Linked DNA regions of Nothobranchius furzeri. The protein of the gene in region 6 binds, or shares a complex with, the protein of the main gene of each other region. Links are inferred from orthologs where the notes say so. Each region holds a gene or a part of one and is shown on either strand. Other genes may lie near its edges. The genes, in order: ik, phf5a, mfap1, smu1a, sf3a3, sf3b3 and ddx46.

Region 1 (4,150 bases), on a different chromosome or scaffold from region 6:
CCACCTCGTGTGGACTGACCAATGAGGAGAGGGTCTTAACTTGAGGTCCTCTCTTCATTGGTCAGTCTGCATGAGACTGACTCTCAACTGACGTTCAGAGTCATAGGCAGCGAAGCGTCTCAGCGTAAAAGCCCGGGTGGACAGTTTGTTTAATATAGGGTGACCATATTTCCATTTCCAAACAAGAGGACAGGGGATCTGTGCCTATGACGTCACACTATGGCAACGCCACAAATATTACGTTGGGACCCATTTTTTTGTAAGAACTAAATTAATATCAGATTCTGCCAATAAAAGGGCTCTAAAACAATTCATATGTAAATATTTTGCATATTTATTGCAAAATCTAATTTTTCTGCTTTAGTGCTGCAACAATGTTTTATTAATAATAAATTACTATACATTTTGTTTTACTACACCATCGGTAAGCTTCCTGTGCACAGATTATTAAGGGTGCTCATTTCAGCTGTGAGATTAGACGATAGGATCAATGAAAAAATAAGTTGTCACACACTCCATGGAAACTTTCAGAGAATCCACAAATAGTGGCTTTCAAATAGTTGTGTTACTTTTAGCAAGTTTATAAAAGAAGCAGATGAGACAGCATGTCTGATAATTTAGTTTTTCATCTGATAATATTAGAACATGTCAGTAATGTCTGAGGAGCTTTTATAAACACTGTATAACTAACACTACTGGAGAGGGTATGAATTACACAGAGGCTTCTGGGGAGCCCAGTTATGGGGGGGGCATTTTGCCTTGGCCCCCAAAATGTCTTGAAACGGCCCTGGGTGTGTGACTGAGTCTTGAAGGTGATCTGAGCTGTATCAGATGCATAATTATTACATGTGTATAACTTATTGTTTTTTACTGGTAAAAACGTGTAGTGGAGATAAATCTGCCTACATTTTACTTTTCAACACTTTGTTTTGTTTTCTTGTTTTTATTTAACTATTTTCCTGTCCTGTCTGTCTCTCATCTTCCTGCATCTCCTCTAAACTCTCCAGAAAATCTGCTGCCTGGATTCTTACCTTTTCACCTCATCAGTTACTTCTGAGCAGATCAAAGGCAGCGTATCACGTAGACTACACCACTGTGTGGCATCACTAAAGAAAACCCTGTTTTGCTTCCTTCCATCGTCTGTGTGAATCAGCAGAAATGTGCGCTGTTTTTAGTCATTCTGGCGCAGTTTCCTACCTCTTGCTGCTTTGCAGCGTTATGAATACTACGGAATACTGTGGTCGATTTGCACCGGCGGGAAAAATCAGAAGAGTTTATATAAAAACGTTTAAACAGCGCTAGTGTTTATGTACGTATCTATGGTCTGACGTGAATACAGGAAGTGACGTCAGCGCTCAGAAACTCCTCAGAAAAAAAGAGCCAGCGCCATAGATATAAGCGTCGTACTCAGCAGAGAGGTAGACCAACAAAGGCTGTAGCTTCTTGATCTCCGCACCGACTGCTGTCCGCCAAGATGCCCGAACGTGAGTCTTACAACCATTATTAAGAAAACACATAGACGTAGTAGATTAATACAAAAGCATAGCTTATAGCGAATTATATTAATGCAACGTGTAATGTTTTATTTAGGCGATACGAGGCTCTGTTGGCTTATATTAGCGATCCAGCTTCCGGTCTACCGAGGGGCACTTTGGTTTAATCAGCACCGGAGCTCAGCGTGGCTACGAGATATGGCGCGGGGACAGTGCCACGGCTAAAGGCTAGTTTATCCACCCTTAAGGAGAAACGGTGATGTAAGCAACATCCGGTGAGATACCGGAAGTAGCGCATTTGTTTGCATGGTGAGGTTTTGTTGCTAGTAGTGGTTAGTAGTGAACATTTGAAAACGATTAAAAAAAATTAGGGATGCACCGATCAGGTTTTTTGCTGCCGATCACCGATACCGATCACGTGGATTGGCCAGAAATTTTCTACAACATTATAATGAGTGCTACAAACTATATAATCTGGGAATAAAGGAAATGTAACCTAATCTAAAATGGTCTGTATTAGGGTTGTCACGGTGTAAAAATTTAACCTCACGGTTATTGTGACCAAAATTACCACGGTTTTCGGTATTATCGCAGTAATTTTTTTAAACGTGCTACATTTTCACACAATTAAATAAACCCTGTATGTCAGGAAATATTGTCCTCAATTTGTGTCTAAATTTAGCCTAAAATGTGTTATTTTGTAATTATGTTGTTTATTTGTTTACATTTTTTCCCTTTAGTCTTTAAAATACCAATATTTGCCCATAACTTCTTATTTTATGTCTGTTTGATGTCATCATTTTAAAAATATTAGATCAGATGATACTCCATACTCAAGTAGCCTTCTAATCAGATACTTTTTTACCCTTACTTGAGTAATAAACCCTATATCAGGAAAGTATTGTCCTCGGTTTGTGTCCTTCCAGTGAGCTTTGCAGATGTGGGAAAATGTCATCAGGCAGTAATCGTTGTTAAATTCATAATTATTCTCAGAGAGAGACCAACTCTTATCTGCCCCTGGGAGCCCCGTAATGCATAGCGTCATTTCAACATGGGGGTGTCCGCGACACGGTTTATATGCAGGTAGCGGCGCTGCGGCTGCTTTATATAGCGACTCGTTGCATTCTCCCTCAACCCAAATCCTCGGATCACGCATTTTAGCTAAAACGCTAACGTTAGCTTGCCTTGCGTTGACTGTAGAGTTGTGGGTGATGGTCACGCAGATGTGTCATGAGATTTGAAGTGTAGCTGCCTTTCACAGACACTTTTTCTGCACGTGCTGCAAACAGGATAGCCGTCTTCTATCAGCTGTCCCTCGGCATTCTTCAAATATCCCAAAAAATGCCCGTACTTCCCACTTTGTCTTCTTTGAGGGATAATAAATGTCCTGAGCGCTGCCGTCTCCTCCTTTGGTCATTATTTCAGCTTTAGCTTCAAGAAAGTTTTAGTTATAAACAACAAAGTGCGCATGTGCCGCCGGCAACTTCAGCAGATGATACGGTGGCTGGTAAGGGTCACCGCGCCTACACCGCAGCCACGGTAATCCACCGAGATAATATAGTTTTTTAAAAAACAAGACGGTTATTATTGTCAACTTTTTTTTTTTTTTACCGGGGTTTACCGCTACACTGGTTACCGTGACAACCCTACCTGATCGGTCTGCTTTGATCTATTTTGAAAACTCCGATCAAATCCGATAGGGGCGCTATCGGCCGATTACGATCAAATGCCGATCCATCGGTGCATCCCTAAAAAAAATGTTTTACCCCCAAAAATGTACTTGCATGGCTTGGAAGATGTTCACGACTACAAGCAACCAGAGAAAATAAAACTGAGTTTATACCACGCACCTTGGAGTAAGCCCGTGTGACTGGGAGCGTTGGTGCAGCTTTCACCGCCTCCCGGAGATGAGGAGCCCAGGCTGAAAAATCTTAACTTGAAAACCACCACGAACTATCTGTGCGTTACCTTCCTTTTGCTGTGAAAACCAAGAGGGGGACACACGCTTCCTACTTTGTCGTTGCATATGGTAGGGCTGCAACAACGAATCGATAAATTCGATGAAAATCGATTACTAAAAGCGTTGGCAACGAATTGCGTCATCGATTCGTTGTGTCGCACAACTCTTCCAAAAGCGCCCCCCCCCCTTCCTGCCCGCCGTTGCGCGCAGACCAGAGCAAGTCAGATCAGCGCGAGGGAGAGCCGGCAGATCAGCGCGAGGGAGAGCCGCAGATCAGCGTGAGGGAGAGCCGGTACCGGCAGATCAGCGCGAGGGAGAGCCGCAGATCAGCGCGATGGAGAGCCGGCAGACTTGCGCTGCTGCGAACCGGTTCCGCATTGTCGCGCAGCGCTCCAGGCTGCTGCTTCCAGCGCACGGTCCATTCTCAACGTGGCGCAACCAAAAAACTATAATTAGCACACGATCGTTCATGTCCGCACATATTCTCTATTTTCTGTCTTATTTGTGCCTGAAGCGCGCTACTGCGGAGCTCATCACCTGTGCTGTGGTGATGTCACCTCACGCAGCATCGAAAACGCGCTCTGCGCTTTTCAGTCAGGAGATCCCTTTGATCTGCTCAAAAGTAACTGATGAGGTGAAAAGGTAAGAATCCAGGCAACAGATTTTCTGGAGAGTTTAGAGGAGATGCAGGAAGATG
Region 2 (4,074 bases), on a different chromosome or scaffold from region 6:
TATATAAACTTTAATTGAAGTGAAAATTTCCTAGCCATATTCCTGAAAAAGGGCGTGTCCTTTGACACGTTATAATAAATAGAAATGGTAAGAGAGAAGTGGGACTAGTAGACTGGGTTCACTCAGTTCTACAGCTTGCTGCTAAACGTTTACATGATCTAATAAGGTTTAATAAAACTAACAGGCTTAGGCTAATTTGAAAATGTTTAATGAAAAGATTTGAGTATTCCATCTGATTCATGTTCACCAATTATCTTTTCCAGTCACAAAACATGAAGACAGAAATAGAAAAAACATTTTATTAAGAAAAAGTTTTTGGAAAAAAAAAAAACGACTATGAACTCGGTGTTTCTCCTGTCTTCACCTCTTCTTGAAGCCGTACTTCTTCCTTTCATAGAACAGATCTGTCTTGGAGCTGCCCAGGTTTACGATCTTGGGACAGCCATCTCGCTGCAGAGAGGAACAAAATATTTAGAGACGTTCCTGCAGACACAGCTGGGCGTACGAGAGGAGGACTCACATCTTTCTCCTGGATGGTGCACTCTTTGCAGTAGTAAGCGTCAGACACGCCGGGACCTCCGCAGATCACACAGCGCCCCTGATAGGAGCCGTAGTTACACTCATCACAAATACGCACCAGCGTGCACGGTCGCACGTAAGAGTCGCAGATCACACACTTCCCATCACCTGGAAGAGGAAGAGAAACTAAGCTGGTGATGGGAACAATAATTATTTCTACATTTACTAATAAAGTGAAAGTGCTTCTGATCTTATTAGGTAACTGTAACAATCACAAGACTGACCCGCCGTCTCTTCTGTGAGTGTTTGGAACGTTAGGAAGAGTTTCAGTCACGTGTTTTTAAGTGTGAGTGGTTGTGAAACGAAGTGGGAGAGGAGCCAAAGCTGCACTGGAGGTGTTGGATAAGTGAAACCGGAGATCTGTTTAACTGCGACTTTTCCTATTCGACCTAATGGCTTCATTGACTTTTCTCAAAGCAAAATGTGGAAGTGACATCTTTCTCAGATTTAAATCTGAGCCTTGATCTGTGTGTACAGGTGCAGACTCTGCTCAGCTCGTGTCCTTCACCTAAACCAACTTCTGTCTCAGGGTCCCATCTGGACTCCAATGCACCAGAATGCCACGTTTGGAGTTTCTTTGATAATCCTGCAACATTTGCAATAACTTTAAAATTTTCCTGTCGGGTGCTTTTCCAGATTTTCTGGTTAAGTTGGCAAGTGTCCAGACAGGATGTCCACAGGTTTGAAAATTTCTGTTAACACATTCTTCTGTTGTCTCTTTTGTCCCAGCTGGGACACGCTGAACTCAGTGGATGGAGAAACTAGTTTTAGTGAAGTTCAGTGTTGAGAGTTTAACTTCTCTCAGACTAGTTTCAGTCTGGTGAACATCTTGGTTTGGGTTGTGACCTCGTTATTATTCCTCATGTCCAGCATGTACTGTCTAAAGGTGATTCATGTTTGCACGGTCTGTGTAGAAAATATGTTTTCTTCACTTACAGCCATACATCTGGACCCTGATTACTGTAAATGACCACCAGATTTTACCTGCATATGAGTCTGGGTCACGGGGGTTGCAGCCCCAGCAGAGATACCCAACCTTGCCTCTTTCTGAAGACCTCCTCCAGCAGGATCCCCAGGTGTGCCTTGCCCAAAGTGGAGGTACCTCCAATGTGTCGCAGGTCGACCTGGAGCCTCCTGCTGGCAGGACATGCCTGAAACGCTTCCCCTAGGTGGAGTCCAGGGGACATCCATACCAAATTCCCAACCCACCTCAGCTGGCTCCTCATCTTTAAAGACATCAGTCAGTCAAAAGCTCTGCCACGTGTAGCATATGATATATGCTGCCATCCCAATTTTGCATCATCACAGGATTCTGCCTCACTTTCAAGACCAATCCCAGTCTTTGTCCTCGATATCCAAAATCCTAACGATGACCTGCATATCTCCACCTCCACCCTAAGGCCTCGTCTTCCTTTTCCTTGTTGACACCTCAGATCATTTTCAAATTCTCTTATCTAAATTTATGTTTGATTATTTTAAAAATGCTGCTTAAATTTACATTGCATTGACTTTAAAATTCATTACGGATTTTACATTGGCATGGTTTTTTATAAGGTGGGTGTTTTTAAAGTGCCTATAAATAAAATCTAGAGGTTTAACAGCGTTTATGATGGTTGGTTCTTTTTAGCCGCCTTTACTCCAAGGAAATCAGCTAGATCTTTGGGTTAGAATTAGCCAAAAGCACAACGTTCTAGAGGAAAACCTATAACAGAAATAGACTTTACAGTAAACGTGTTAAAAGTGGAGACACTTACACTTCTCGCAAAGTCTCCCGATAGCTGCGGGAGGAAAACAGAACAGTCGTTCAATTAAACGTTTCAATTTTCAGGATAAACGATAAATTTGTACTTCTCTATGTTCAATACTCAGTTAAACGGGTTTAAAAACCATAAAATTGTTAGTGTCAACAGAGATGAAAACCGTAAAGACACGTCCAGCTCCGCTACTCATTTCAGTATTTATGCTAACAGTTAGCTTAGCAGCTAACACATGGCGCAAATCAAACGTGTTTCTGATATATCTGTGTAGTTTCAAAGGTACCGAACGACATAAAGTAAAGAAACATACCGACACCCGCTTGTTTTCGACAGAAGATCAAATCTGGGTGATGTTTAGCCATTTTCAGCTAACCAACGACGGCCGAACGTAATTCAGTTTTAACCTTTGACCGGCGTGCAAGTGTCGAGTTGAGTCGCTACCACCACCTAGTGCCTTCACCTTGTAACTACACTCTTAAAAAACGGGTTTCAAATAAACAAGGACATTGGGTGAAAATGCTGTCATTAGCCCAGAATTTAAACAAATTTCCAAGTTTTATGTTCACTAAAATTCTTTATCCCTCTGCTCCAGAGGTGATGCCTCATCCTGATACGAGCTGCAATGTCTCTGAGTTACCATAGAACAGCAGCAAAGTTAATAAAATTACAAAAATCCCTGGGTTGCTGACACTGTCTCAAAAGGTTCAACAACAAATAATGAAGAATAGGGAACATTTTTATCCAGGTCCATTTTATTATTTTCTTTTCAGTTGTTGTTTAACCACTAATCAAAAGCCAAGATGGATTTTCAGTATATATTTATTACTTTTGTCAGTTTCAAATCATTACAATGACCACTGTGAGTTCTTCTTTAACAGAATTATACCAACAAACATTAAAACAGTTAACTTGGCTAATATGACCAGCCAGTGAATTAGTCTAACTAGTGAAACAGGTCCACATTGCCATACCGGCTCCTGGTCTATGCAGCCAGGATCAGCCGGTTTTCATCTGTTCACCTACTGGTCTGACTCTTACTCCCGACTGGATATTTGCTCACAAAAACAAATCTGATAACGAAACAAAAACAATGACTTGATCACTAACAAAAGCTTTTGAGGAACTGGGTGTAGCTAGGGTGACCTTGGGGGAGGCGAGACAGTTCTGAACTCTCTTTTTGGGTCGGAGGGTCTGAGAGTTTATAAACAGCAGAGATTCATGAGACATAGCTCCAGCCGTCTTTTGATTCACATCTGTTACCATCTCAGAACGTCATCTACAGCAGCCGCTTATATCTCCATCGGTTCAGCTCCTCCTGCAGTGTCTTGTTGTGTTGTTTTCCCACATCTCTTCCATGCTCCTCCCATTTTCTGGCCTCCTTTTTTCTGGGGTTTGTCTTTTTTTAACTCCGCTCAGCTTGTCCTTTATGCTCGCCTCCATTTTCTGCTGTTTCTCTTTTCTCTGCGGTCTGATGGATCATGTCTGCCAGTGGGCTCTGCTCTGGCACCTGATGTCCCGACTGGATCATCTGCTCGGCCTTCTCTTGTTTCACTTCACACTGCGAGACTTTTTGAGGCTGGTCTGGGGGGTTGATAAGGGTCTCCATCTCCTCCACCTTCACCTGCACTCTAACGACTACAGAGACACAACCCAGTCACACAACAATGATCAAAAATGACCTTTAAACCAAATTTGAAGAGCCTTCACTTACTCTCTCTCTCCTCTGGTTCAGCCTTCA
Region 3 (4,034 bases), on a different chromosome or scaffold from region 6:
ATGACATATCGGCATCAATATCTATGTTTTACATATCGGTATCGGTCTGATAAGGACAACTGGACCGATATTAACTGAATATATATAAAAAGAAAGACGTCCAAAATTTCTGCTTACATAACTTTAAGTCTCCATAAAATCTGCTGACTTCAGAAGCATAAATGTCAGCCTGTATATGTCGCATCGACAAATATCGATTATCAGCCATAACAATATCGACATCAGCCCAAAGTTTCATTTCGTTGCACCCCAAGACGAAAGGGTCTCACCTGCATGACTTTGGGTAGGATGGTTTTGTTGAAGTGATCCTCCAGTGTAGGAGCGCTGAAGTCTCTCTTGTAAACATCCTCCTCCTCATCCTAACACACAAAAACCACACAATAAATCCCTACACGTATAACCTGTTGGTGACCCATCACAAACGATCACCTCCTTCAGAATCTGGTGGGATTTCCTGTCATTTACAGACATCTAAATAATAAAGGTGTTATAAGAAAGGGTACGCCGTTTTTATCACACAATAATTGTCAAAGAAAAGACACTGCAGCTGTAAATGAAGATTTTAGGAAAATCTCTTGGTTGTCTTAAAAATTTGCTTTTTTATGAATCCTGGTGACAATCCCGTGAAAAGGACTCTTGTGTCTGCTGGGACTCACCATGAAGAAGGCTCCTCTGTGGTAGTATTTCTGCAAGAACTTGTATTTGCCTTTGGAGGCTTTGTTGGTGACGACTTTGCCGCTGTTGCGTAGCTCCGCCCTGCGTTCCTCTTCCGTCATATTGTGGAATCTGTCAATTTCACCCTTCTCTCTCTCCATTCTGACAACAAAACACCACAAATGACCGTCCTGAAGAGAACTGCATCACTCTTTCACCATAAATCCTTTGGAATCCTGCAGTTTACTTACGCTTCCCGGGCCTCTCGGTCTCTCTTGATGCGTTTCAGCTCTCGGACCTTCCAGGCTTCATATTCCTCCTCTTCATTCTCCCCGTCAGTGTCCAGAGCTTCCAGTGCAGCCAGCGAGCGCCGGTTCTCTTCAAACTCCTTCTTAGCCTCCTCCTCAACAATCTTGAGGGTGTAGCGCCGCCGATCCTCTGCCTGCCTCTTGGCCTCGGCCTCCAGCTCTCGCTGCTTCAGCTCCTCGGCTTCGCGCTCTGCCACAGTGACTCTGTCCTTTCTGCAGTGCAAAAAAAAAACATTTGAGCTAGTGTTCTGAATCTGGAATTTTTATTGAAACATTTTTAGTTTAGTTCTCACTTGCGAATAAAAACAGGCTTAAGTCTCGGCTCTGCTTCATCCTCACTGTCTGTGTACTCCTCATATTCTGACTCCGACTCAGACTCCTCTCCTGACTTCCCCTCCTCCTCCACCTCCATCACTTCCATCTCTTCATTTTTCCTCTCCATTGCACGCTGGCGCATCATTGCTCGCCTCCTCTCAATTTCCTGGTCACAAGCACGATGAGCAAATTAATAATTTGTTCAAAATGCAACAAAAAAGTTAAAAGGATTTTATTTTTTTGGTGCACAATTGCTACCTCATCATCCACTTCTTCCTCCTCTTCCTCCTCCTCCTCCTCTTCATCGTCGCTGCTCTCCTGATGCTCAGGGTGCCATGTGCCTTCATCAGAGTCCTCACTGCTCTCAGCAACAACTTCAGGCTCTACGATCTGTCTGTGTCTTGCGAGCCTGAGCACAAACAAACGGGAAACATTTTGACTCAAAATGTTGACAGAATTTGAGTTTAATCAGAAAAACTGAGTGATACCTCTCCTCCACGTCCTCAGAAGTTCGATTGAGCAAACGTTTGAGACGTGGGTCATTCACATCTTCTTCCTGCTGCTCTACCTCCAGCTCCATTTCCACTCCCTTTTTAGCAAACTTGAATTCCTCCTCCTCTTCATCTGACGACTCCATGGGGGCATAGTCTGGACGTTTACCTGACACATACCTCTTCACCTTCACCTTCTCCATGGAGATCTCACCTACATTGTGTACAGAAAAGGGCATGATTATATACACTTCCTCAAGCTTAGTACAAGAGTATTTAAACAGGAAAAAACACTCAACCATAAAAAACGTAAAACAATATGTTGCAGATTTATTTAAATTAAATCAGACAGATACAGCATACCCCTCGCCCTTGGGAGTAATAAAATGACCCCAAAACTCAGACGTAAGCTTAAAACAACGAGTTAATGTCTCAGACAAGCTCTTATTAGGTAGACAGATAAATGACGTTACAAAAGCCCATGAATACTTTTAAGGGACTTAACAGATGACTTATCTAACACGTAAAAAAGTTGAAAAGCTATTTAAAATATATTTTTTCCAGTTGTTTATAAACATTTGTGTTGGATCATCAAAGATCTTGAATCTTGTTTAAAAAAATGTAAACTGTCAGTTGTTCCTCCATTTCTAGATTTTAAACTGTTACTCCCACCACACACACACATTTTACTCTCTTAAAAAACCAACATCACAAAATTGCTTTTCAGCTTGTTTTGCTGAGTAATGAATTAGTTATTTAGAAACTTAACTCGCGTTTTTTGACGCTACATAACAGATGCTACATTAGCATGGAAGCTAACCCTAACACGATTCACCTTTCTCATTCCGGATGGGCACGGCTCCTGCCGTGGACTGGATCGGTGGGAGCTTCATGTTGACGCTTTCGTGACTAGACATGACTGCCCGGTCAACAACACAAAACTATGGACGTGAAATAAAAGGATGTTGCGCTTAGTCTCAACAATCTCTTGGCTGCTTCGTTTCAAAACCGGAAGTTGAACAACTTCCGCGAACGGACAGGAAGTGCATTTGTTCCGAAGAGAAAAACCAAAAACTCAAGAATCAAATGAACAGGAAAGCGTCTCACATTAAATTGTTTTTACAAAACTGACATTTATGCATTTTTATAAACGTGTTTTCTAAATGACCATCAAGCTAATTAAAATCGATTAAATTGTAAATTGTAAATCACCGCCCCTTGGTGGTTTTTATGTTTCATGCATGATAGGCCTTCAAGTCAAGCTTTTTTTCATTATGATCAGAAACCCGATTTCACCCTAACAAATATAACCAACATCAAACATTCCGTTTTTTTTTTACAAAAATGACAGGCAGCTTAACAAACTACATTTCTTCTGCTCCAGGCAAGTTCAATTTACTAGCACAATAAATAAGTGCACGCCCTGACCCTTAACAGAGTAATAGGATGGACTGAGGTTGGCTTGTAACTTTGGCATCATGGTTTATTTAAAAACAAAAGGCTAATCTGACTGACTTTCTAATAAGCAACTCTTCACTTATCTAAAAAAAAAACTTTGTGTCTGTGTGAAAATTATTTGAAAGGTTTGATGACAATGAACCAGACTTATAAAAGAAATGTCATATGTTTTTATTCTTTTAATTTTCTGTTCTGGTTTGCATGACTTTAAAAATTTGACAATAATACAAATGACAGTGCAGCAGACAGTACATTCACACTTCTTTCTTTTTTTTCTGAAGCTCACTCATAAAGGTGCATTTGAGTTGTCATTTTAACAGTATAGACGTGTGGCTTTGCCATCAGAGTTGAATGCCTCTCTGAACAAGTCCTCCAGCTTCCCCTCCAGGGCAGAGTTAGTTCCTTTCAGGCCTTTCACCACCTCAGAGGCCCAAACAAAGTACTCCTGGACCCGCTCAGTGTTCCAGCCTGCCAGGCAAACAAAAGGTAGACAACATGATAAACACCATTATTTAGGGAGGCAATAATTAGAGAAGCAGCTACAATAAACAAGTCAGTGTAGGTAGTGATCAGAGCAGATCAGTTTACGTGATAACACAACACAGGGTCAGGTGACTGAAACAAAGCAACTGCAGTGGGCAGGTCTACGATTGGCATTCATGAGTCTGACCGTGGAGGGGAAGAAACTGTTCTTGTGGCTAGCGATTCTGGTCTGAATGGATCAGAGCCTCCTGCTAGGTGGGAGCGAGTATAATGGGCCATTCCCATCTGTATCGGGTCAGCCTGGGCCGGGTAGCGTAGGTTGTTT
Region 4 (4,154 bases), on a different chromosome or scaffold from region 6:
CCCAGCAGAGCCATGAGACGGGAGGGGGGGACCACGCTGACCTCTCCTGCCAGCGCATGAGCGATGGCTGCACGACGCTTCTCCTTACTGCTGCCATCTGGGTATGCCTGGAAAGAGTTTCACCAGCATAATTAAACCATATATATTTAATTATAAAATTGTTATACATTAATTTAAAGCTGTGGTCTGTATCGTGACATCAAAGAGAGGAAGAAGAGATTTTGAAATCTGCGCCGCTATAGCTCCCATCCCTTCTCCCCCTCTCCTTCTGGAAAGAGCTGAAAGCCCCGCCTCACACTGCTAACCCAAATGGCACGTTTAGTGCTAACAGACAAGTAACTTTTTTAATTTCCCTGCTCAAACACACCTGATTCTAACACCTGTTGAATGGTCTAATTAGAGTTCTGCATCAAACATGTATCATTTAAGCAGGGAAACATTTAAAACCAACGGGAATCTGGTGATGGTAGCACACCTGTGCTAATGATACAGCAGGCTAAATCAACAGTCTAAATTAGTGCAAGGTTGAATGCTATGCTGATCACTCAGCTCTAAAACACAAAAGCTAAATTCCTTTTCCTTCCCCATCCTTACTCTTCCACCGTTAGCTTGAAGTTTACAGACTAACATAAATTAAATGCAGGCCGGTGAGCTGAGTGAGTGACCCCGTAGTGCATGCTCAGACCTGGGGTTCACTCGCGTTGATTGACAGCTCCCTCTCGTGGATATGCAGCTCTAATGGTCAACACCATCTATGTCGATGGTCAACCCTCTAGGCTCGCATAAATGATTCGCTGAGCTGTAGAGGCCAGGAGAGGGACCCAGAAGAAATCTAAATTATGAAAGATTACCGGTACCTACTTTATTTCATAGAACAGTGTTGGATAGTCAAATTTAAGCATTTTAAATTACTGTAATACATCTAAACTATGCACCCCAGCTTTAATGCACTTTAATGCATGAGCATGAATAAAAATTCAAAGTTAGATATTTTTGAGTGGTTTCACACCTCCAAGCTCTGGTTTCCTATTGTTAAAGAGCAATCTAACTATTAAAATGATCCCTTTAAAAAAATTTCAAAAGAAAATAATTGTGCTATGAGAATCTGTTGGAACCAGAGTGAGTGAGGTTCTCAGTGAGTTCCAAGAAAAACTAAAGTGACTCCCAAGACCCACTGATGCCAATGTGACATCATGGAAATAAACCAAGAATACATCAGGCTCTGAACTCACCTCTCTAGGATCAAAGTAAGAGCGAGCCAGCAGGTTCTCCAGGTGGATGTATCTCTCTGGCTGAGTCTGTTTCAGCATAATCATGGGGTCCGTCTGTCTTAGGAGAGAACGGGCTGCACCAAGCTCTCTCAGCTCAATAAGCTCTAAGACAACCTGGTCAGGGCACAACAAAGACATTTTAATAAACAGCTACATGATAAAATACTGTGTAATAAGAATGGACAGCAGAAGAAAAAACTACTGAGGTAAAATTATTAATTAAAATTAAAATAATTTAATCATGCGGTGACTGTCCAGATTAAGTCTCCCTAGCATTATTTTAAAATCTGCACTGTATGTTTTTCTAACCTTTATTAAGATTACAGTGAACATGAGCAAAAAGAACAACGTCCTTTCTGTCAGCCAGCTTTTCACAAACCTGTTTACTTTGATTTCTTCATAAAACAAAAAAATTATTATAGGTTTTTAACTTTATGAGTGCCGAGGGAATAGCACTAAGCAATATGCTGAACAATACATCCAAACCTCACCTGTTCATAAAGATCTACCAAGGTTTTATCTGGCAGCTTGAGGGACTGGATGGCTTGTAGAACAGTGTCCCAGTGGCCACTGTTGATGTCTGCCACAAAGCTCTCTATACTGTCCACAGTGTTCAGAGATACTGTGGTCTCCTCTTGCAGTGTGGCCAGAGTTCTGTGCAGGTTGTTTTCCTTTAAGTACTGCATAATAAGACGCACCACGCTGGAATAAAACAAAACATCACACAGAAACCATGCTGATGATACAGAATTCAATGAGCAAACAGTGTGACACAAGTATCCCCGACAGACGGGGCAACAATTCAGTTAAAAAGTGTGATGGACCAAAAAACATAACTTAGAAATAAGTGATCTATGGATAAAATCAACTTAAAGAAATGGGATTTATACGAAATATGGACAGGCCTCTAGCAGTTTTGACCAAACTATAAACTCAGCTGTTTATTAAAGACATTTAGATCGTTACACGTCTTCTTTCAACAACTTCTACAAACTAAGAGTACGTGTTACAGCAAGAAGCAGCATTTGTATTTTCGACCCTAAATTACACTTGTGCAGCCCAAGTTTACACAGCAGAATGACTGTGGAACGTTAGCTGAAGCTAATTCGTCTTCCAAACGAACTTACTCAGGTCAGTAGAAACATGACCACAGACAGAACAAACTATTTTAATTATAAAAATTACACTGAACAATTTTTACTAGAAAACTATCCAACTTGGCCATTCTAGAACACAAAATGCACCTTTAGAAGACTTACGTTAGCATGCTAGCTTAAGGTGCTAACGTTAGTTTGCTGCAGCTCAGAACGAAAGGCCTTAACGCAAATACCGTCATCTAGTGTGGTGGTATTAGCTAGATTTTTATTTAAAAAAAAAACAAATAAGATTAACAGGACACGTAAAGAAGTACTTACTCCGCAGATTCCACTTCTATAGACATGATTATTTACGTTGGACAGCAGCAACAACACAGTCCTGGAGCACAAGCGAGAAACACGCAGAAGGAAAACGGAAGTTGCGTGTAAAACGACAGATTTCAAAATAAAATTATTTCAACCGTTCATTGCCAACTTTATTGATATACAACGAAACTATTTAACAAAAATACAAAGAAATCTGCTAATGAAATTAAATTAATTTATTTTAGACAATTCGTTGTTTTTTCCAATTCTCTGACTATTTCTTTTGGCAATAGAGAGAATATGCATTTAGATCAGTTGTTTGAAATTATAAAATGATGGGGATTTTGTACTTCATTCCATTTTATATTAATAATATTTAGCTAATATTGTAAATAAATTGATTATATTAGTGGACAGAAATTAGCTGTACCAAAGTAATATTTCAGATTTAGAAAATGTGATATTTTTGCCATTTTTTTTCTAAAATAAAATTGTGTAAATCTGAAAAATAAAATACAAACTCCTTCTGAAGATCAGTACTTTTGTTTATATCTTTACAAAACATTAACTTTGGGATTTCAAATATAAATGAGGACTGTAATCTGCAGTTTGATTATAGCCCACTGATAAAGTCAAACATTCAGTGTATCTTTTTTTCATTCTATAATTTTTTTTTCACTTGTACACATTCAGAGATTTTGTTTGGACATATTATTTTCACTGGGGTTTTCTCCATTTATTTATTTTAGAGCATAAAGCCCTTCATGTTGTAGATAATGTAGATAGTAGATGTTGGAATTACCATCTCTAGAATCTTTGGGGAAGCCCAAATTACTTTATTTGTGTGCAAAATTAAATCAATGAAGATGCATCAGGAATAAAATATCTTCCACTACTTTAAAGCATGTGCACATACATAAAAATCCTTCTCTCAATGTGGTCAACAGGGGCTGCTCTCTGCACAGTTATGACACAGAGGCCCCTTGACTCTTTTTACGCTGCCAGTGAAGGTCTTTCAAGGTTATGATGATGCACCACTTCATTCTGCAGGCATTGATTGTTATGGGCAATCATGACATAATCCAACTGTGAGAACCAGCCAAATTGGAAATTAATTTGGCTGCAAGAAAACGAGCAGATCCTACTTGGTTTTGTTTGCCTTTGCAGATGGAGAACTATATTTGGATGAGATGAGTACCAGAGAGCGCAGAGAGAGGCGGAGCAACGTTTTTTAGAATCCCATAACACCACAATCCCTCCGAATATATTAGCATAAAAGCAGAGATTTTTTTCAGTATTCTGACGTGAAAAAAAAACAGCAGATTTTTTTCAGTGAGGGAGATGCCACCAAAAAAAAGACGTCTAAATTCAAAAGGCTGAAATTTGATAATTTTGTCCTAAATAAAAAAAAAAGCAAAAGAAGACTTAATTTCAATCAGAAACCAATTATTTGTATAGGTTAATTACTTATTAATAATAA
Region 5 (3,955 bases), on a different chromosome or scaffold from region 6:
CAGTGGGTGTGCGGGAGGCGGGATGTGATCCAAAATCACCTGAACACATTTCTAGGTAGAGTTAGATAAAGCAGGAATTGTGTACAGCTATATGTACGCAGTGTTTTATGGGTCCAATTTTTTATTTCTGCAAGTAAATTTTTTTAGTAAAGGATCCAAACAAAGTTTTATAAATAGAGCCATTGGACTTTAATATTTAATATATTTAATAAAAGAAGTAGCAACAAAAGCCGTGGAATGGGATACCAACGCTTCTGATAGGCCAGAATAAAAATGTAATTATATATTTAGATTTTTTTTACTGTCAGGAAAACAAACCTGAGTAAACAATGGGTAACAGAAAGAGACAACAGCTTAACTCTAACAAGCAAAAAAAAAAAGTACATTGAATATATTTAAAAAAATTAAAACGTACCCATCTTTGTCTTCATAAGAGTCCCTGAGATTTGCACTCACTTCCATATACCTCTGTGAGGAGACACAGAACATGACAACAGATGACATTAAACTAGCCAACACTGACTCACTGTTAGATCATCATGGTAATAGACTTGGCTCTAAATTACCATGGTAACACATAGCTTGACAACACCTAGCTCTAGAATACTATTTAAAGTGAGGGTCAATGCCTGGTTGGAGACGCATTTCATCCACATTTCCTGTTAGAAAAACGCTTCTGAAAGAGGCGTCACCTGGCGAACCGGGAGAGCGGCACTGAGGCAGTGGTAGACCGCACCCCCCTCAACCCCTCCGCGTGTGCTGTCGGAGTTTCTCAATCTAAAAACGAGTTGTTAACTAGCGCAGGCACACTCGCGCGTGCATGCAAGCATGCACTCACACAAGACTTACCGCTCAGGAAAAAAAAAGCAGACACAGATTCTGCAGCATTCTGGAGGATTTCCTTTTAACCACGATCATTAGATGAAAAGGGGAGGAGGGCATTACGCACATAGGGGTTGGGGCGCTCCGAGCACCCCAACCCCTATGTGCATAATGCCCTCCGGATCTAAGACTTTGGGTTAAGCTGTGTGTGAGATCAGTTGACAAATTCTGCTTCTTAGAATCTCCAGGTAGAAATATCAGACTGATTCAGATGTCATCATAGTTCTGTTAGATCTGAGAAGATCTAAATAAACATCAGATTGTTAAATAAAGCACATTACCTTTAGAAGCAACCAGCACACTGCACTGAGCTGATCAAGTATTTTATTCAACCACGACATACGCTTTCATTCAGGATCATGTTTAAATGTGATTCTTAAAATTATTTAAAACATTTTAAAAATCAACCTATGGAGGTCTGATCCCACCAAAATTGACAATAACTGGTTATAAAATTGAAAGTACATATAGAAATACATGATGCAATTATTAGGTGGGCTATTAGTATGAGTGTCTGCCCTGGGACTGGGATATCGGGATTCAAATCCACGGTCGAGTCACACCTAAGATTCGAAAAACAGGAACCAATGCCTCCTTGCTTGGCACTAAGCTTTAAAGGGTTGGATCGGGGGTTAAACCACCAAATAGCTCCCGAGTGCTGCCGTGTCTCCAACAACCTTTGGAGGACTGCCGGGGGTGGGTCAAATGCAGAGAACAATGTCACACATCAGTGTGACAACTAGTGGGACTTTAACTTTAATTCACCTCATCACCATATACCACAGGAAGTGTGAGGAATATAAATGAAGAAATGTATTAAAAAAATAGATGTGGAAATTAATAATTGTATTCATTTAACTCCAAGTGTGTTATCTTCAATTGTATTTCCTCATTTATTGAATTACTTTTTTTTTTTGCCCTTTCTTAATTTAATGTAAGCGTTGGCAGGATCAATCCTCCCTCTGTACCACCTGTTGGGTTTTGTGTATGAAGTCTGGATGTGTCAGTAAAGCCCTCTGGTTTCACTGCATTTTAATGAGGAGAACTTCAGATTAAAAGAGCAGCAGTGATCAACCTGAGGTTTTGATTTACTTCTCTAAACGTTTGGATACTATTAGTGAAAATTCAGTGAAAGTCCCCTGCGATGGGCTGGCACTCTGTCCAGGGTGTACCCCGCCTGATTGCCCATTGACCGCTGGAGATGGGCACCAGTCCCCCCCCCCCCGCGACCCTACGTGGCCAAGCGGGTTCAGACGATGGATGGATGGATGGTGAAAATTCACCAAAGTTACACTAAAAGTGAATGACGACCAAGGCAGGAACCAAGCATTACAGGTAACTCAATAAAAATAAAAGCAACTTTACCCAACAACAAATAAGCTTTATTTTCTGATATAACTTCTATATTACATTTAACAAATCAGAACAACATCGATTGCAATGATTCATAAAATTCAGATCTTAAGCACAATGATTGTTATTGACTCTATTACTTAACACGACGGAAAAAACTACACCACCAAACAACATTTAGCTCACTGGTGGAAGAGCAGCATTTCATACTTACATCCAACATGGCTCTTATTCGATGATCACAATTAATTTGATCCCGCAGCTGAAACAAGAGTCGAAAACAAATACGTGAACATTGCGTTGGTGTTAGCAACATGCTAATGCTAAAAGCTGCGCTGCTTACCGTGGTCTTTTTGTGCAACATTTCTTTAGTTTTTGCGTCCATCAGCCTCTCTTTCTCTTCGTGGTAGCGACGCTGTTGTTCCAAAATCGACTCCATCGTTTACAAAATGCTCAAGAGTTTAATGAAGACTGTTCAGGGTTGCTGCTGAAGCGTTAGCACAGCGCAGTATGGTACGTTGACCAAAGGCGTCTGTTCAGGAGTTACTGTCCGCTTCAGTACGGCTAGGAAAACATTTCCCAATTATTAGTTCCGCTGTGGTCACACAAACGTCCATAACGGTGACAGTACGGGATTCCTACAAGTGGACAAATTAGCATATATTTTATTTTTATATTATTAGAATTTTATGAAAGTTTTAAAATTATTATTTGCTGTCCATCCAGACCGATCCAGACGTGAGAGTTTGTGAATAATTCGACTGCGGACGGTTTTATGGATCAAAATAGAAATTTTCGTTCACGTGAGCTGTTTGAGGTTATTTTATTGTGAGCTATTTCTAATCACATCTCATCAAAGCCTGCAAAATCAGGACACACACACTATCCCAGCGCACACGCGGTGGAGCGCACTTACCACAGACCGGAAGTGTTGGCGCTTATAACTTGTTTCTTAGGTGCAAATGATAAATCATTCTCAAATGTAATACAACAATTTACGATGCATTCCACTGTCAGAGCTGTGTATAGTAATGTGACAGGATGTGATAAAACTAAAGTAGAAATGATATCCAACATTTTTATGATTCTCAGAGGTCTGATCCCATGTCATATATATATATATATATATATATATATATATATATATATATATATATATATATATATATATATATATATATATATATATATATTCCTTTTTATCTTTATAATTACCGCCAGAGCTTTTATTTTGGCAGTCAACACCGGAAACTCCACAGTAACAGTCGCTGCCTTGACAGTGGCGTTCTGGCTTCGGTACGTTCTCCAGCAGCAGCAAGTCAAAGCACCGGGCAGCCAGTGTTTGGGTTTTGTGGACTACAGGGACTTTGGGAACCGTTTTCTCCGCCGCGGTGCGTCCAGCCTGTTCAGGAAGGTGAGCAGCCAGTTTTCCACGGTGACAACACTCGCTTGCTGTAATGGATTTGAGGCGCTGAGGCGTTATCTGCGGAAGGGGGGGGGCGGTCGTTGTCGTTGTGGAGACGAGGTGTGGGGGGGTGGGGGGTATCCATTCTGTCTTTGTGCTACTGGGGCAGACCTGGCAGAGGTCAGTGGCAGACCCGCTACCAGAGGGCTGCTCCTGGTTAGCTGCAGCATCTTCCGACATCTACATGCTTGATGCTAACTCTTCATTTATCCAACAAAACAGGCGGAGCGGACCGGGTCGGAACGAGCCCGTGGG
Region 6 (4,146 bases):
GCAGCAAGGAGGAGCAGGCAGGACAAGGTGAAGTTACAGCATAAGTTACTGAGTTTAAAATTAGAAAGGTAGCAGTGGATGTAATGCTTTTTGGTTTACATGTTTCAACAGCATTAAGATAAATGAGTGTTGACGATCTTGACAGGGTTTCCTCCAGTGCTTACTAGGCCAGATTTTCCTCCCCCCACCAGGCTAAGCATCACTTATTCATGTATTTTTTCATGTCTGACTTTAACCGCATCTAATATTACGGTGTGAGCGCAACAGCGACAACTTAAGATCGATGTGTGAGCAGCCTGAGAGGTCGGGTGTTTTCATCTGAACCCTTAAAACCTCCAGCAGGCTACGCTGCACTATTGACGTGTTAGCGTGCGGCGCTAACAACTTAGCGACGTGACATGTCTCGGAGAAAGCGTAAAAACACGTTGGACGCTTCTTCTGAAGCGGGAAAATAACACCTCTTCTTAAGCAGAGCACGACGTCGCCTCGGCTCGTTCACGACCGAGCCGGACTGAGCTCGATAACATTGACCCAGCACAGCCACTGGGTCGTTGGAGCTGCCCCGTGACTGCCTGATGGAAAACCAGCGGGTTTCATCAGACTCGTAAAGTTTCTTGTTTTTGCTGGGGACCCCCTGTATTTTACCGCTCCCTCCTGCAGTCTTCCCCTATTAACATTTAAAATGATTCTGTAAATTCCGTGTATCAATAGAAAAAATCTCTGCCTCTGCCAGCTGCAGTAAATGTAGTCTCCAAATAATAAACAAGAGGTGCATTCATCTGTGTATCTCCTTTGATCCGCATTAGTGATATTCTCAGCAGCAGAACAGTGAAGCAAAGAAACAGATTCCTGAGTTTGTTAGTAATTTTATTTATTAGGTGCATCTGACCTGTTCTATATTTCTCTGAAATGAGATCAAATTAGTGCTTCTATGGGTTGTCTCCACTCTGCACTAGAAAATTTCACTTTATTTAGAGACGTGTCATAATTTCTCGCCAAGCCCCCCCCCCCCCTGGAAAAATTCCTAGGGGAAACACTGTGCATACTTATTTTTTGCACAGGCATTTGTTTACTGTGAAGTAAAGCTGAAGTGATGAAGTTTTGAAAACTAATTTTGAATAAAACTTGAGGAATAACTGGCAATTGCTTGCTTATTTTAAGAGGTCTTTCATATTTTATAACATGCTATTTGATATAATGGTTTACAAACACAAAAGGGCCATTTATTAGAGTACTCGATTAATCGATAAAAGATTTGATAGAGTACTCGATTACAAAAATATTCAATAGCTGCAGCCCTAATTGTAATATTATTTTAGTTACTGTTATTTTAAACTGTACTTCATGTTATAAATATGATATACAGTCATAATGTCTTGATGTTTGTAAAATATTTATAAATACATGACACACATTTTTATTGTTTCCAGTCTGATGTGTACCTTTAGTTCCTCCGGTGAGTCGGAACGCCATCAAGGATCTGATGATGCCGAACACCTCCATTGTGAGGAGTGTGTGCACCTTTCCCGTGTTAGCATCCGGCCGCAATAACTCCAGGATCTTTCCTCTGGAAACAGCAATCTCCTGCAGCTTGGTTCCTACACGCAAACATTTAATTAACATGATTCGAGCTTTATAGGGTTAAAATTGTTTGAATATAGAAAAGTAAAACGTTTGGTCTGCACAGGCTGTGTCACACAGCGTTGGTCCTACACTGAAATAAAACATAACTGTTTTATTGAAGCCCGCACTTGGATAATCAAACAAAAGATACAAAGTTAAAAAAAAATCCGGAGGAAGCTCACCTGAGAAGTTTCCATGGATGGCGTGAGTGATGCCAGTGGCACGCTGCAGGGTGATGTTGTAGAGAAACATGGTTCCCTTTCAGGGTTGTTCCGGAGCAGCTCAGCCCGGCTCACAACTGCAAACAGGTGGTTAAATGCGAAAGCTCAAACTTCTACAGTCAACTGATTCACATACTAGATGACTCAGGCCAACAGCTTCTTTTTCAACAAATACACTCTAAATAATGAACTGCCTATGGGAATTTAGTTAAATGCAGAAGCTGAAGTGATTTCCACTCATGTAGTATATCAAACCAACTTAAACTAGTTCTTTCAACTATTTATAAAACCTTCCTAAAGGGAACGCATAAAAGGGCCAGATAACTGTTGGCACCACCTTTACCAGATGTAGTTTGACCTTTTCTATTCAGACAGAAGACATTTCAATAATTATTTTCACAATCCAACGTGCGTTTTAGTCCAGATCAGACCCGTACGAGTTAAACTGATTACAGCTGGAGCTGGTACCCGGACTTCTGTGGACCCCAATCCATCCAAGACGCTCTTTAGCTTTTCCTCCCAGCCGCTGAATGAGCAGACTTTAGCAATTTACTGCACGACGTGAATGTTTACCAGTTTGCAACTCCTCCGGGCTCACCGAAACCTCTCAGGATGTAACTTATCCCCATAAACGGTTTCCGTAGCTGTATATAGGTTATTTTCGGATAAACTCGGCCTGCTCACGGTAAATCCACAAGGTTTTCATACGAAGCGCCACTTCTTGCCAGCAGCATCCGCTTTTGTTTTCCTGCTATCCTACTAAAAAGCCTTTCATAGTTCACAAACATATCGTTCCTATTCAGACTAATACTTGTTTAAATTTTGAAAAATAAAAAATTTACCGGGTTATTTAATTAGATGATTGTGATTTCTGGTGGATTGAAACTCATCGGCTCGAATATTTCTCTGTTGCTTCAGGACAGCAAGCCTACGTAGGGCTTCCGTTTGTGTGGGTCCTTCTTTAACCGTGAAGCGGGTTTCATAGGTGACCTTAGCAATGCCTGATAGAAATAAAGTGTAGTAGCGCATGCTGTCCAGCAGATGTCAACAAAACACTTGATATCGCTTTATAAGTTTAGACAATAAAATAAATCAACTGTTTTGCTACACACTCAAGCGATAATAAAATATAGCATAACGCCGTGAAGGAAAAGGCTCAAACAATATCTGTTTAAGTTATAACGTGATTTTTATATCTAAAAATACAATATATTTTTGTCATTCTTTTCACATGAATAAATACTTATCACAATTCTACATTTGATTAATCTTCAAGTTATTACAGTAATAATATCATATTTAGATAACATGAAGAAAACACATTTCATGTCGTTAGTAATTATTTTATGTACCGGTATTTATTTATTTACATTTATTTATCCAGGTGAACTGCTGAGAACCACTTCTCATTTAAAAACATGACATGGATTATGAGAAGCTGCATGCTGCTAAATAGCAGATTAGGAAAGATGGAGGTCAGGCGAACATTTTCTCATCCCATCAGTGGGAAGATGCATTTGTCACCAGAGAAAAGATGTTCAAACGTAGAGGCAACTTATTTGTGTTAGAAAACAAGTTGGGGTTGTGACCCCACTGGGGGTCACAAAACTCCTCAGTTAGGGACTTGAGATAATCTACAAAAGTCAGATAAAAATAAAGAATAATTATTAATAAAGTATTTGACTATGTCAACCCAAAATAGAATAACCATACTGGTAGACCTATTTTTGTTTTGGTGAGGGTAAAAACTTTGGTTTGGTTTGGTTGTTCAATGAATCACACCGACACATCTGGAAACCACTGCTCTGTTAGCTGGGAGGCCTGTTTGTTTTGTATATAGTTCATTATTATTTGTAGAATAATTAGTCTGATCTTTTTCAATATATTTTGACAGGGGAATTCAAGCACCCTGACATTTTAGAATATTACTGCATTTTTTTTTGGGGGGGGGGGGGGGTTGTCATAGATGTATGTATTGTGAAAGACGTGGGATTGTTTAATTGTGAAAAGGAAAAACCGGAAGTTGCAGAAACTATTCCTTCAGGGGTGGGGGGAAGATACCTCCTCCTTCTCCTCCTGCCTGCTGGTTCTGAGCAGCACTTCAGTGGTCCTCCTCCCGAGTTGGACGTCTCGTGCCTGGTTCCGTTGGGAGGCAGCAGCCTCCTGCAGCTGCTCGACTCTAAGCGCATTTTTCTGCAGCCTCTCCTCCTCCTCCTCTGTGATCTCAGCCTTTGTGCACCCAGAGCGCGTGTGCGCGTGCGAATCACGCGCTCACATTGAAATTCAGACAGCGTGGCTGCGC
Region 7 (3,500 bases), on a different chromosome or scaffold from region 6:
ATTTAGGTTTGACACCCTGGTTATTGTGTGAGTTGGACTCTGCCGAGGCTGCCACCAAGATTTCTAGGCGCAGCCAAGGTGTTGAGGGAATCCGTTTTGGTGTTCTATGGATCGAGTCTCTGCATTTTGCAGATGATGTGGTCCTGTTGGCTTCATCAGAATATGATCTCCAGCCTTCACTAGAGCGGTTCACAGCCGAGTGTGAAGCAGCTGGGATGAGAATCGGCTCCTCTAAATCCAAGACCGTGGTCTTGAGTCGGAAAAGGGTAGAATGCCTTCTCCGGGTCAGGGACGAGGTCCTGCCCCAGGTGGAGGAGTTTAAGTATCTCTGGGTCTTGCTCATGAGCAAGGGAAAGATGGAGCATGAGATCGAAAGGCGAACTGGTGCTGCGTCTGCAGTGGTGCAGGCATTGTACAGTTCTGTCATGGTGAAGAGAGAGCTGGGACAGAAGGTGAAGCTCTCAATTTACCGGTCACTCTATGTTCTAACCCTCACCTATGGTCATGAGCTTTGGCTAGTGACCAAAAGAATGCTCCTCCACATCAAGATGAGCCAGTTGATGGTGTCCTGGACACCTCCCTGTGAGGTTTTCTGGGCACCTCCAACGGTGAGGAGACCCAAAGGAAGACCCAGAACATGCTGGAGGAACTGTGTCTCTCAGCTAGCCTGGGAACACCTTGGGACTCCCCCTGGAGGAGCTGGTCCAGGGGGCTTGGGAGAGAGAAGTCTGGGCTGCTGCTCTGTGACACGACCACGGATGAGAGGAGGAGGGTGGATGCATGGACACCTGGTTATTCTGTATTATTTATTCCTCTTTTTTTAGGGCTATGCTTACACCTTCATCACGGAGGATCAGGCTCGCTACGCTGGTGACATTATCAAGGCCCTGGAGCTGTCCAGCTCTCCTGTCCCGCCTGAATTGGAACAGCTTTGGGCGTCCTTCAAAGATCGGCAGAAAGCCGTAAGATAGAACAGCTAAACCAAACTTTGCCTGTTAACAGCATTTCTGAAATTTGAAATCAAAAGTGTCTATCACTTAATGTTACCTTAATGTTTTGAAAAGGGTAAGCATAAAATGTTATGTCATGTCTTCCTGTTTTTCTCTGCCCCTCTACCCAAACAGGAGGGTAAGGCCATTAAGAGCAGCAGTGGCTTCTCGGGAAAAGGCTTCAAGTTCGATGAGACGGAGCACGCTTTGGCTAACGAGAGGAAGAAGCTGCAGAAAGCTGCTCTCGGGCTGCAGGACTCCGATGACGAGGATGGAGCCTTGGATGTGAGTAGCTCCTCTTATTAGAGGATCTAGATCTCTGACTCAGTCTTCAAACATCTGTTTTCTTTCCTCAGATCGAGGAGCAGATTGAAAGCATGTTTAATTCCAAGAAGAGAGTGAAGGATCTTTCTGCTCCAGGAGCGGCTGCTGGAGCAGCCGGAGCTGTTGCTGCCACAGCAGCCGCTTCTGGGGGGCTTCCTGGAGTCGCCCTGGCTTCTGCTGGAAACATCCAGAAACTGGAGATGGCTAAAAGGCTTGCCCTCAGGATCAACGCTCAGAAGAACCTGGGAGCTGAGGCTCAGGTGTGTCAAAGCTCCGTGATAATTACAATTTGTATTTAGTTAAATGTGTTTCTGTTGATCAAGAGCTTTCTGCGTTGGCATTTGGCTTTTTTTATCGTCTTCTTTCGGCTCTTGGAGAGTACAGACGCCTTTTTCTCCTCTCCCTCCTCCCTGCTCTTCCCAAGGCTTTTTTCCCTGTCTGCCTGTGCACTGCACGTCTCTGCATTTTTCTGGAAATTATCAAACATGGATCTGGTTAGTTGTTCTCTCAACGCGATTGACAACATTTTTTCAATGATGAGAACGGGAGAAGGGGCTCCCGGATGTCCCTCTGGGACGGAGCCAGCTGGATATATCATGGACTCCTGGAAACTGTGGAACTTGGTCCGCCTGTCTCAACTGTCCGTAGAGGATTCTGAAGATGTCTGGATATTCGTCGTCTTGGTGTTGGGATTTCTGCTGTTTGGCCTGAGCGGTTACCTGGCATACCGGAAAATTAACGAGCTTTCGAGGAATATTGGCTCAATCCCGGAGCTCAGGGATGGAATGCATCGTGCTGTAAACTCACAGACTCGGATAATTGTCGAGATGAGTCGGAAGCTTGGAACTCTGGCTGAGATTCAGGCTCTGGCACAGAAGGTTGATTCGATCAAGGGGAGAGTTGACAGATCAGCACGGATTGGAATATTTTGATAACGCCATTACTGGATCTAGAGGGGTTGAAGAACAATAGAACACTAAGGCAGAGAGGAAATTATCTCGGTCTGTCCCCAAAACAATTCTTATCTGGATCTGGTGCTCTTGGAGCCTGTGAGGCTGAAGTGAAAACTCCCCTCAGAAGAAATGTGGAATGCTGCTGTTGCTATGGAAATGCTTTCTCCCTATCCCAGCCTGGGCGGGGCTGTGACCGGTGAAGGCCGTGGAACCGTATCTAGAGCCCCCTTCAGACAGGCCATGAAAAACGGAAATGTTCGGCACTCTGTCCGTAAGACCTTTGTGTCTGAATACAAACATCCGGATAACGTGTTCCGTAATTAAACCGGACGAAGCCCCTAGTAACAGGACCGGACTTGTCATGAACAGGGTGGCTGCTTCAGACTGGTGAGGTCGAGTTCCGGACAGGGAGGAGGGGACCGGGGGAAGCTGTGTGCACCTAGATAGCTCGCTCCTGTAGCATGCGGCGACAAAGGCAGCTCGCCTCCTACGGTACCGTCTCCTAGACGCGCGACTGAGCGCTTCACACCGCTTCCGTGATTCATTTATTAACCATTGAGCTTCATCAGCCAGGTCTCTTATTCTTGTGTGCAGAATTATGCTTAACATAAGTCCGATCAGTGAGAGGAACTATATCTCTTCGTCCGCCATGTTTGACCGAATGGCTTTGTTTGGGTAAATGGCGCATGTACGCCCGCCGCGCCATGTTTACGCAATATCTGGGTACAGCTTTCCCACCCCCTCCCCCTCAGACATCTGGAACTTTTCCCTGCTGTGTGAAAGCAGCCGGAAGGACAAGTTCAGGTACAAAAGTGGTGTGTTTGAAAACACAGTTCTGGTTAAAAACCGGACTGAGTTGTCCACACATATTTTCAGAATGTCAATCTGAAAAGGGCTTAGGAGTCGATGAGCTCTCTAACCCAGTATCTCCCTCCCCTGTCCAAACGGAGGTGATGAGCGCTGCTCTTGCGGCTGCACTCTCTGAAGTGAGGACGGTCCAACCCCACCTCCCCTCCTAGTGGGCACTTAATGGTGTGTATCATCTGAAGTCTGTGTGCATATCTGTCTGAGGTGTTGTTTTTTGCACAGCAAAGCTATCCTCTCTGTCGGGGGTAACTCTGAACTGCCCTTTTTTCCCCTCCCCCAACTCTATCCTCATATAAACCCTCTTGATCTATTACGGTAGCACGACTCATGTTGCGAAGGACCACAGTCACCAATTTTTGTCATGTGT

What was found.
Region 1: sf3b3 (region 6) and ik share a complex: the UniProt entries of both Homo sapiens proteins name them as parts of the spliceosome B complex. The link is inferred for Nothobranchius furzeri from reciprocal best matches to the Homo sapiens genes SF3B3 and IK.
Region 2: the proteins of sf3b3 (region 6) and phf5a are in contact, whole or in part, in a crystal structure (PDB 7B91), measured with the Homo sapiens proteins. The link is inferred for Nothobranchius furzeri from reciprocal best matches to the Homo sapiens genes SF3B3 and PHF5A. Residues at the interface, in NP_036558.3 of Homo sapiens: Gly85, Arg86, Gln104, Glu105, Thr106, Phe107, Gly108, Lys109, Ser110, Leu140, Ile154, Ser155, Ser156, Pro157, Glu159, Ser1162; in NP_116147.1 of Homo sapiens: Gln14, Ala15, Gly16, Val17, Arg44, Asp47, Glu79, Asp81, Arg82, Asp83.
Region 3: sf3b3 (region 6) and mfap1 share a complex: the UniProt entries of both Homo sapiens proteins name them as parts of the spliceosome B complex. The link is inferred for Nothobranchius furzeri from reciprocal best matches to the Homo sapiens genes SF3B3 and MFAP1.
Region 4: sf3b3 (region 6) and smu1a share a complex: the UniProt entries of both Homo sapiens proteins name them as parts of the spliceosome B complex. The link is inferred for Nothobranchius furzeri from reciprocal best matches to the Homo sapiens genes SF3B3 and SMU1.
Region 5: sf3b3 (region 6) and sf3a3 share a complex: the UniProt entries of both Homo sapiens proteins name them as parts of the 17S U2 SnRNP complex. The link is inferred for Nothobranchius furzeri from reciprocal best matches to the Homo sapiens genes SF3B3 and SF3A3.
Region 7: sf3b3 (region 6) and ddx46 share a complex: the UniProt entries of both Homo sapiens proteins name them as parts of the 17S U2 SnRNP complex. The link is inferred for Nothobranchius furzeri from reciprocal best matches to the Homo sapiens genes SF3B3 and DDX46.

The regions. Positions count from the first base shown.
Region 1 is NC_091750.1:27,147,303-27,151,452, reverse strand, and holds the start of ik (protein Red), read left to right. Parts: upstream 1-1,350; 5' UTR 1,351-1,474; coding exon 1,475-1,484; intron 1,485-4,150. UniProt on the Homo sapiens protein: Involved in pre-mRNA splicing as a component of the spliceosome. Auxiliary spliceosomal protein that regulates selection of alternative splice sites in a small set of target pre-mRNA species. Required for normal mitotic cell cycle progression.
Region 2 is NC_091756.1:28,019,799-28,023,872, reverse strand, and holds phf5a (PHD finger-like domain-containing protein 5A), read right to left. Parts: upstream 2,801-4,074; 5' UTR 2,699-2,800; coding exon 2,647-2,698; intron 2,358-2,646; coding exon 2,334-2,357; intron 688-2,333; coding exon 521-687; intron 451-520; coding exon 361-450; 3' UTR 286-360; downstream 1-285. Other genes in the region: l3mbtl2 (lethal(3)malignant brain tumor-like protein 2), read right to left, coding at 3,739-3,971, 4,048-4,074.
Region 3 is NC_091749.1:30,004,243-30,008,276, reverse strand, and holds the start of mfap1 (microfibrillar-associated protein 1), read right to left. Parts: upstream 2,801-4,034; 5' UTR 2,686-2,800; coding exon 2,604-2,685; intron 1,983-2,603; coding exon 1,766-1,982; intron 1,687-1,765; coding exon 1,536-1,686; intron 1,444-1,535; coding exon 1,256-1,443; intron 1,176-1,255; coding exon 906-1,175; intron 817-905; coding exon 657-816; intron 360-656; coding exon 270-359; intron 1-269. Other genes in the region: hddc3 (guanosine-3',5'-bis(diphosphate) 3'-pyrophosphohydrolase MESH1), read right to left, coding at 3,540-3,694. UniProt on the Homo sapiens protein: Involved in pre-mRNA splicing as a component of the spliceosome.
Region 4 is NC_091741.1:70,830,058-70,834,211, forward strand, and holds the start of smu1a (WD40 repeat-containing protein SMU1), read right to left. Parts: upstream 2,801-4,154; 5' UTR 2,713-2,800; coding exon 2,687-2,712; intron 1,974-2,686; coding exon 1,763-1,973; intron 1,386-1,762; coding exon 1,233-1,385; intron 108-1,232; coding exon 1-107. UniProt on the Homo sapiens protein: Involved in pre-mRNA splicing as a component of the spliceosome. Regulates alternative splicing of the HSPG2 pre-mRNA. Required for normal accumulation of IK.
Region 5 is NC_091751.1:25,497,109-25,501,063, reverse strand, and holds the start of sf3a3 (splicing factor 3A subunit 3), read right to left. Parts: upstream 2,801-3,955; 5' UTR 2,675-2,800; coding exon 2,579-2,674; intron 2,498-2,578; coding exon 2,450-2,497; intron 469-2,449; coding exon 416-468; intron 1-415. UniProt on the Homo sapiens protein: Component of the 17S U2 SnRNP complex of the spliceosome, a large ribonucleoprotein complex that removes introns from transcribed pre-mRNAs.
Region 6 is NC_091744.1:81,791,440-81,795,585, forward strand, and holds the start of sf3b3 (splicing factor 3B subunit 3), read right to left. Parts: upstream 2,801-4,146; 5' UTR 2,687-2,800; intron 1,922-2,686; 5' UTR 1,876-1,921; coding exon 1,806-1,875; intron 1,599-1,805; coding exon 1,443-1,598; intron 1-1,442. UniProt on the Homo sapiens protein: Component of the 17S U2 SnRNP complex of the spliceosome, a large ribonucleoprotein complex that removes introns from transcribed pre-mRNAs.
Region 7 is NC_091750.1:60,380,814-60,384,313, forward strand, and holds part of ddx46 (probable ATP-dependent RNA helicase DDX46), read left to right. Parts: intron 1-824; coding exon 825-962; intron 963-1,124; coding exon 1,125-1,274; intron 1,275-1,345; coding exon 1,346-1,573; intron 1,574-3,500. UniProt on the Homo sapiens protein: Component of the 17S U2 SnRNP complex of the spliceosome, a large ribonucleoprotein complex that removes introns from transcribed pre-mRNAs.